2 linked regions of the Mus musculus genome follow. The protein of the gene in region 2 binds, or shares a complex with, the protein of the main gene of each other region. Links are inferred from orthologs where the notes say so. Each region holds a gene or a part of one and is shown on either strand. Other genes may lie near its edges. The genes, in order: Mcm3 and Cdc45.

Evidence for each region.
Region 1: Cdc45 (region 2) and Mcm3 share a complex: the UniProt entries of both Homo sapiens proteins name them as parts of the CMG helicase complex. The link is inferred for Mus musculus from reciprocal best matches to the Homo sapiens genes CDC45 and MCM3.

What each region holds. Positions count from the first base shown.
Region 1 is NC_000067.6:20,817,372-20,821,869, forward strand, and holds the start of Mcm3 (DNA replication licensing factor MCM3), read right to left. Parts: upstream 2,942-4,498; 5' UTR 2,838-2,941; coding exon 2,760-2,837; intron 535-2,759; coding exon 422-534; intron 81-421; coding exon 1-80. UniProt on the Homo sapiens protein: Acts as a component of the MCM2-7 complex (MCM complex) which is the replicative helicase essential for 'once per cell cycle' DNA replication initiation and elongation in eukaryotic cells.
Region 2 is NC_000082.6:18,808,894-18,813,498, forward strand, and holds the start of Cdc45 (cell division control protein 45 homolog), read right to left. Parts: upstream 3,080-4,605; 5' UTR 2,673-3,079; coding exon 2,622-2,672; intron 2,472-2,621; coding exon 2,412-2,471; intron 1,589-2,411; coding exon 1,496-1,588; intron 1-1,495. Other genes in the region: Ufd1 (ubiquitin recognition factor in ER-associated degradation protein 1), read left to right, coding at 3,522-3,524. UniProt on the Homo sapiens protein: Required for initiation of chromosomal DNA replication. Core component of CDC45-MCM-GINS (CMG) helicase, the molecular machine that unwinds template DNA during replication, and around which the replisome is built.

The sequences.
Region 1 (4,498 bases), on a different chromosome or scaffold from region 2:
AGGTGGCGTCAATGGAGGCCACGAAATCCTTCAAGGCCCGCTGGAAGGCAACCAGCTCCTCAAACGCATTGTTCAGGAGGCTGCGTGGGGTTGAGACAAAGAACAGTTAGACAGAGCTCAGGAAGCTGACCCTAGAAACAGGAAGGAACAACCTCGGGTCAGAGAAAGGAAATCCATGTCTACTTTGTGCTACCACTGTGTAAGACTGAAGTTATTCTCAATTCATCAAACATGTAAAAAAGGATGCTCAACACAACACTGGAAGATGGGAGTACCTGAGACCACCTCTTCTCTGGGAGACGACAACGACAGCCTGTATGTAGGTGAAGCCCATGCACTCTAGGTCTTCCCAATCTAAACAGGATGCCTTCCTCTCTCCCTCCAAAGCAGCGGGCCCCCGGGAAACCCTGTCACGGCTCACCGGTTAGCCCTCTTTTCATTCTTCCTGCGCAGGTCATTCACGCTGACAATCAGCCGATACTGATTGTCACTGATCAGTTCCCGAACCTTGTTCTGGTAAATGCCTTGGTCCTCCTGCGAAGCGCCAATAAGACATATTGAACAAGTGATTTGACATATTAAATTAGGACACAAGTCAAATGTGTTTCAGACCAGAAGCAACCCTGGAAACAAAACCTCTGGGCCCAGATGAACGCAAAGTCTGTTTTTCAGTCTCCCCCTTTCACCCGCTGGCCTCAGACCTCACCTACAATCTATTAAGAGACTCTAAGAATCATAAAGTCAATGTCACCTAAGAAACTGAGGGTCCCCTTTCTACAGGGTCTTGGTTTTATTCATAGCAAGCTTGGATCTCTAAAGCTGCCTAGGAGATACAAAGAGGAAAAATTGAATTCAGGTAGAGCATGGAGCTAAACTACAATTCCAGCACTCAGGCATCGGAGGCAGGAGGATCACCTCTGAGTCCAAAGCTAGGCTACAGAGTAAGATTCCTTCAAGAGCAACAGCCAAAAGAACAAGCAAGCAGATGGGTACACAGTGACAAGCTGTAAACACTGGTAGAAAGGGGTATCGTCGAGTGAGAGTAAGCCTGTCCTGAATCTAAGGGATTCCAGTAATATTAGAAGGTCAGAAGGCAGGCAAGCTCAGCAGTGGGGTCTACAACTGCATCAAGAACTTGGGGGTACTTAAGGACATATTACATAAAGGCTGGGTGGTCAGTTCTGTGTTCTTGCCCTCTGGTGTAACGTACTTCTGTCTTTCAGCGGAAAAATGTTCTTTCCTACATTATAAAACAGGTGTATGCCTTTCTGGACAAGGAGAACACACCTGCTGTCTCTATCAATAGAGCATTAAGGACCACTGAGCATTCAATTTATAAAGGGGTTACTGATCGTGGGGGTGGGGGAGGGTTCTATTTATACCATGGGAGGTCAGCATAAAGGTATTCAAAAGTCCTAAGCAGGGACTTGGGAGCTACTTAAAGCCTACACCAGCAAAGATGACACTAGCCACTATGTCACTTACACATGAGGATGCCAGCATGTTGATATATGTCTCAACGGTGCCCAGGAAGTAGACAGCTGCAGACAACCCTTTCCTCCTGTCCAGCATGCCCTATCACATACTATCATGATCATTAACAGTTCTCCTATATGCTTACATTTTAATTGGGAATTAGAATGGCCTAAGTCTTAAAGACTTAGTAAAAACAAACAAAAAAACTTGCAATATGAAAATTTAACTTTAAAATCTGGATGTTAGCACACCTGACTGTAGACATATTTCAAAATCATGATGTATATTTGAAATGTAATTTAAATACTCTTAAAATTCAAATTTAAATTGCTTTTCATTGATCAACAAACTTCCAGGGCTCATCAACATCCTATAGCTTTAAATTTTGGATTACACTTAAACCCATTTTACCTGCATACAAAACACTTGATTCACTAAAAAGAGAGCTGTCATAAATTGTTAGTCTCGCTCCTACCCTCACCAGCATCAGGCCAGTCATTAAATCTGAGGGCTCTGAGCCAGTTACATTAGCTTTTCCAAAGAAGAGCCTGTTTACACCTGACCAGTCTCCTTGCAAGTTGTGTGGGGTTTGGGGGGAACACATGAATTTAGAGACAAACTAAATTACTTTGGAGAAAACCCTAGTAACTCATGAAGATATACAGGAGCAAGAAAATGACAAGAGGAGATAATGAGAAAATGAAAATGATCAAAATACATTATGTGCTTATGAAGTTTCATAATGTAACCCGTATGTATAGTTAACATATCCTAATGTAAGAGGTTTCAAGAAAAATAGGCTGCTCAGAGGAAGACGGCAAGCACAAGGCCTGGGTACCATGTCAAGTAGGCTATGGGGATCAGTAGCAGTAATTATAAGAGGGAGTGATAAGAAAGAAATATGACCAAAATACATTATGTGTTTATGAAATTTCATAACGAAACTAATACATGAAAAGAATGTAACTTTTAAAATCTGGAGGTACATCTTTAGGAGAGAAAAAAAGATAACAGGAAGTTGCAGAGAAAAGAAGTTATCAGCGGCCCTGGTCCTCCGCGGGGTCCCCAGCACCGTGCCCGGTCACCCGCGGGAACCCCCTCAGCCGTGCCCGGTCACCCGCGGGACCCCAGCACCGTGCCCAGTCACCCGCGGGGACCACATCAGCCGTGCCCGGTCACCCGCGGGAACCCCATCAGCCGTGCCCGGTCACCCGCGGGAACCCCCTCAGCCGTGCCCGGTCACCCGCGGGACCCCAGCACCGGGCTCGCGGCCCGAGCCTCACCTCGTCATCCAGGAAGTCCAAGTAGTCTCTCTGCGCTTCCCGCAGCTCCACATCATCCAGCACTACTGTGCCCGCCATGTCGCAGCTCCGAAATCGCCGGCCACCAAACAGTCCGGAAACGCGTGACACCGCCTTGGCGCCAAAACTTCCCAAGTTTTCCCGCCACGGAAGTTTATGGTGGAGGAAGCATGGAGCAGAGACGCGTTATGATTGGCTAACCACTTCAATAGCCTTTCATTCCGTGCCTGGATTGGAGAGAAATGGTCACTTTCTCCGCCCTAATAGGAAGTCTGACCAATGGTACAGAGAGGACGCTCAAAACCCACCCCCTGGAAATTGAGCAACAGGAAGGCTAGGAAGCACTGCATTCTGGGAGTTGTGGTCCTTCCCACCTCACCCCCTGTTTTTCTTTTCTTTTTTTTTTTTCTTTGCCTGTAGGAAGTTTTGTCAAATCGGAAGTTAGGATTTACTGAGGGGGGAGGTCTAAGTTTGCACCCCATATGCACAGGTACAAATGAAGGCCAAAGGTTGATATCCGGTGTCTTCCTCAATCTTTCTCCACCTTGTATTTTTGAAAGACGAACAGGATACCCACTGACCCATCTCTTTAGCCTCCATATTATTGATTCTAACACACTTTGTCTTCTAGCCTTCATTTCCTCCTATACAAAATGAGGAATCTGAATTCAAAATTCTCCAGTAAGCCATCACTAGTATTCCAAGAGCAAGTTAGAAATGGTGTAAAGACAAATTTTATTCACGGAATCATGCTATTGCCTTTAACACAGCCTTGATTTGCTGTATCTTGATCTGTAACCTTGAAGACACAGAGATATATAATTCGTATTTCTCCCCACTTTCACAAGGTCATGAGATAGATAAGCAGAAAATCAGATTGTTAAAAAAAAAAAAAGCATAGTTAGTATATCTAAGGGTTCCACTGCTGTTCACATGCTTGCTTTGCTTGCTATCTGTTGGCTTTCTGCCTTAGGCACTAATGGGCCAAGGCTGATTTACAAGGTGAAATAATTGCTAAGAGGCTGCCTGGAAAGCAGCATGCAGAAACAGTCAAAATCAAGGCATTGCAAAGTATACAAAGTACTTCCTTTTTTTCTGTCTCCAGCCCAAAGAAAACACTTGGAGTGGGCGACCCTGAAGTGGAGAACAGATGAGTTATGGGTACCGGATGCCGCTTCCAAGATGATGCCCACCATGTTATCCTGTTGAAAGAGGGGACTGATAGCTCTCAAGGCATTCCTCAACTCATGAGTAACAGCTCGTGAGTAACATTGTCTGTGTTTGCCAAGTGATTGCTGGGGCTATAAGACCACCCTGGGTCCTCATGGCAACTTATTGTGGATGGCCAAGGCAAAACAACAATTTCTACTTCTGAAACTCCTCGATGGTGGACATCCTGCAGCAAAGACTTTAGTGGACATTGCCGGATCCGAAGACACTGACACTAGTGATGGCACCACCGTGGTGATCCTGCTGGCTGAGGAGTTTCTGAAGCAGGTGAAGTCCTGTGTGAAGGAAGGGTTATGCCCTCAGATCATCATCTGAGCTTTCTGCACAGCCACCCAAAATCAAAGAGATAGCTGTGACTATAAAGAAGCAAGATAAAGTAGAAGAGAGGAAGATGCTAGGGAAGTGTGCAGTGACAGCCCTGAGCTCCAAGCCCTGAGCTCCAAGCTGATCTCCCAGCAGAAGGCCTTCTTTGCCAAGGTGGTGGCTGATGC
Region 2 (4,605 bases):
AAAGGAGACACTGCACCTAGGAGGCCGCTCCTCCCCAGCACTGCCAGTCCCTGTGCTCCTCCATTGAGCACATTATGGCAAGGCCCAGGAGGAATGCTAAGTGGCTTGAAAACTGCTCACAGCTGGCTTGGTTACAGCCTTTCCATGATGACACTGTAAAATAGGTTCTGGGGCTCTTCTTGCTTCCTGAAGAGCACGCCGAGGCTCTGCAAACTCAAGACTTGTACACAAATAGCTAATGAAGAACAGGAGCAGGACTTCACACACACACATACCAGTCTCGCGGGCTGTTGCTCAATGCCAAAATGTTGCTGCAATGTCCCCTACAGCTTACCACATCACCAGCACTGTGTGGGTTAGGCTTGCAGTAAATCTTGGGCAGCCTCACGTGGCCTCCTCAATATTAGATCCTTTATCAAACAATCACTATAGGTAAAACCTTTCCTTAGTAACACCAAATTGCCTGCCTATGGGCTCACACCTGTAATACAACACTTTGAAGGCCAAGGAAGGAGGATTGTCCTCGGCTAGCAAATAAGATCTTGTCTCAAAATACTGGAGGTAAAAAACTCGACTGATATAAGTACTTCAAATTATAAATGAATCTCTTCCAAGTCATCCTAGAAGCAGCCAGGGACTCCAAATGCATTTTGACATGCCCTACCCATTCCCTATAGGGCCTTCAATAACCCATTCTCATCTGGTCCCAGGCAGAGGTAAGGAGTCTTGGTTCTACCGTTTAATTCCAAAGTGAAAACGTGTTTGATAACTGGAATGCATTTTCTAGAGATAACATAGAGCAGTAGTGTATCCTAATGAAATAAGTGAGGTTAGGACTGAACCCCCTCCCCAAGAGCAAGCATGAGCTGGATCTAGCCTGCTGCCCCCCACTCCCCCTGCACACATATGTAGCAAGTGCAGCTTCATCTTCACGTGGATCCCCAACAACTCAAGAGGGGGCTGCTCTGACTCTGTTGCCTTTATGTGGATTCCATTCCCCTAACTGGGCTGTTTTGTCTGGCCTCAGTGGGAGAGGTCCTGCAGTGACTTGATGAGCTGGGAGGGTGGGGGTGGGGGGGGTAACACCCTGTAAGGGGGGGTGGTTCTCCTTCTCAGAAAAGGGAATAGGAGGAGGTACTGTGGGGGGGGGTAACTAGGAGGAAGGAGGCTGATATGGGATACAAAATAAATAAATAAATGGAAACAACAAGTGAGGTCAGAGTAGGTGCTGCCCACAACTAAACTGTTTTTATTTTTGAGACAGGATCTTGTCGTGTAGCCCAGGCTGGCCTCAGTCTTGCTAGATGTAGTTCAAACCTACCTTAAATTGGTGGTTCCTTGGCAAATGTTGATTCCGCCACCATAACTTTAAGCCTAATAAAACTGATACTTCAAAAACACCCTTCTCCTACTTCAGAACTGGACAAATGCTAAGTATTAAGAACCTGCCACTGAGTAGAGTGGCCTAATTATTCTCCAATTCATTAGTTCATACCTGCTCTTTATGTTCAAGATATGCAGTTTCAAGTTCTTGCCACCCAGAAACCGGAACCAGCGTATACTGGACGTGGTCACACTGAAACAGGGCCTGGAGAGAGAGCATGTGGTCAGAAACCCTCATTAAAGATAACTTACCTGCAATCACCAGAAGCAGACTAGTTGAGTTGAGACAAAGATCTATGTGATATGCTGTTTGGTAAAAGGTCAATAGGAGAAGCTACGTGGCAAGGCTGTGAGCAAGAATTCAATCTGAATCTGTACAGTGTGCCAAAGTAAAACATTAAGAGAAAAAAAATACCCTAATTTTAATTACAGGGGTTCTGAAAAATTCCTAACCCCAGCACATTGTAAAAACCACACTATGAGCCGGGTGTGGTGGCGCACGCACGCCTTTAATCCCAGCACTCGGAAGGCAGAGGGAGATGGATTTGAGTTCGAGGCCAGCCTGGTCTATAAAGTGAGTTCCAGGACAGCCAGGGCTACACAGAGAAACCCTGTCTTGAAAAAACAAAAACAAAAAAACAAACCACACTATGGTCAGAGCCCAAACTAACAATCTTCTCTAATAGACTCGGGGCTCCTGTATTTCCTGCACTCCCTATTATACCACTCCCCACTGTCACATCTCCTCTCTCAAATTCCATCTTTGAGAGGTCATTTACAAATTCAAAGATTTCAGAAGTGAAACCATTTTCACTTGGGTTACTGTATAAAACACTACGTACTTGTCTCACTGTTTGCACTATACTTCTCTCTAGCTCCAGTATAGGTCAGAGAGGATATTTTGGGTTCCTCACCTCCTGCCTGCTCCTTCTGGTCCCTCCCCTTCTGTGACCTACCCCCTGCTGGGGCCAACCCTGATCTGTCACCTCTCCCTCCTGTCCTACCTTCCTAAGGTATTCAAAGCTCACCTGGAGGATCTTGCAAGCACACAAGGCATCCACGTCCGAGGCCACAAAGAGAAGGACCCTCTGTAGAAGCAAACGTGGACAGATGAGTTGAACACAGGGACGCTAAACTCTGTGGCAACTCTCTGACCTCCCGGCCCATCCACGGACACTCGCCCTCTTCTCCCCAGCCCCCAGATAAGGTTTGGATCAGGATCGTGGAATGGGAGTCACCTGGTTGTGGACCGTCTCGTAGAACTCCTTGCGGAAATCGGTCACGAACATAGCCACAGCGGCGGATACCTAGAACTGGCGCTGAGACACGGACAGCCCCGGAGGTCGTCAAGACTCCCGCCAAATCACAGCTCTTCTGATTGGTCCACGCCAGCAGCCAATAATTCTTAGCCTTTCCTCCTTTCTGATTGGTTCCTACTGGGGACAGCCAATAATGCTCTGCTATTCGCAGCTGGATAAGACCCGCCCGTCCCTCAAAAAATGAAACATCTTTCCTCAGGCTGCGAACCTTGTTGCCGGTGTTGACGCTAACGTCCAGTCACCCAAAACCACCTATGTTTGGCAGACATCTTTACTTCGGGAAGGAAGGTCTATTATCTGACCCTGGCATACTTAGAAAACAATATACTCTTAGACATAAAGTAAATTCAGTCACACATTATTTGAATGTGTTTCCAATAAGTTTCCAATACACGGTTCGTCGAATTAGAGTGAGCTATAGATTACTTCCGCCCGAATCCATGATGGCCGGGATCAACGCCGGAAACTCTAGCTGCATTCTGGGTATTGTAGTCCGTAAGGAGAACGGCTCCTATCAAGTTGTTTGGAAGAGAGTACTATCTAAACATTATAAACAGTCGCTATCCTGTGAAATCAATTATCAAGTGTTTTAATGTTTACTTTAAGTAATATTCAAACCTCAGGCCTTCCCATGACTTTCTGTTTTTCCGCCGCTGACTTCAGGCCTCCGTACCCCATCCCCTGCGGTGTTCCGTCACTTCCGGCGAGCCTCTCGCGGTTTCTGGGTTTCAGAGCAGTGGCCTGGACTGCAAAGAGGGAGCTGTGGGTTTTTATTGTAAGGTTCAGGAAAAGAAGCGGCATCACCAAACGCTGTCAGTCATGGTGAGTTGACCGGGGATCGCGAACCGGATGATGCCAGAGTTGCCCCTGGAGCTGGCAGGGAGGGCCTGGACCTGGTGGCGGAGGTGCCGAGTCACCCGGGCCTGCGTCGGGCCCCGACACTGTCCCGAGAGCTTCTGTCCCAAGTGGGACCCATAATTACGAGCCACCTCTTTTCTTCTTAGCTTGTCCGAGTCATGACTCGAATGCCTTTCGGCGGGACAGCAGCCCCGAGAGTAAAAAGGAACCTGCTACTTTATGTCGATAGTTCTCATAAGTGCTCGACACGCAACAAGTTTCCATGAACTCGGAGTTAACTGGAGATTTCTTGGGGGAGTGGCGCGAGGGAGGAGAAAACGAAGGACATTAAGCTCAGCCAAAGTTCCCTGACCTTTTATTTAGTAGAAATCATGTCTTAGGCTGTATGTCACGTTGTGTTCATCACGTTGTGATAACGACAATAGGTAATATGTAGTGCGCCTTTTTTCTATCAACGTATACTTATTTAATTCCTGCATTCCCCATGGAACATAGGTACGTAGTTATTATATTTACCGGTAGAACTAAAACTTAGAGAGGTGGTACTCAGGAAAGTGAGGCTCAGAGGTTGGAAGTCAAGTCCATCCGGCTGCAGTGATGTCTCATCACTCCTGTATATAGTGTTGACTCCGTGCCATTTGTTTGTTTGTTAAAAACAAGAAGTGATTATTAGATTTTTATCCTGAGTGTCACAGTAAGTCCCTGTCTAAGTTCATTTACATAACCAGCACTGAGTGTTTGATGTGTTAGGCATAAAAGCTTTAAAGGAAGTAACATGGATGATAGAAGCTCATGTTCATTGGTGGCTGAGTTGGAAGGATACCGTTCGGGTGTTGCATACTTCATGTACGTTGTTTATGTTCCAGAGAGAAGCAGTAGGTTAGATGGATGGCATAGGTGAAGATGCTTTGACGAGCACACACCCCCCACCCCCCAACCCCATGGCTCAAAAAAGGGCTTTGTGGGTTATGCACCTAAGACTGAGTCACACAGTTCTGGTACTTAAAGAAAAAGATAAAAGACTGAAGCACGCCTTTAATCCCAG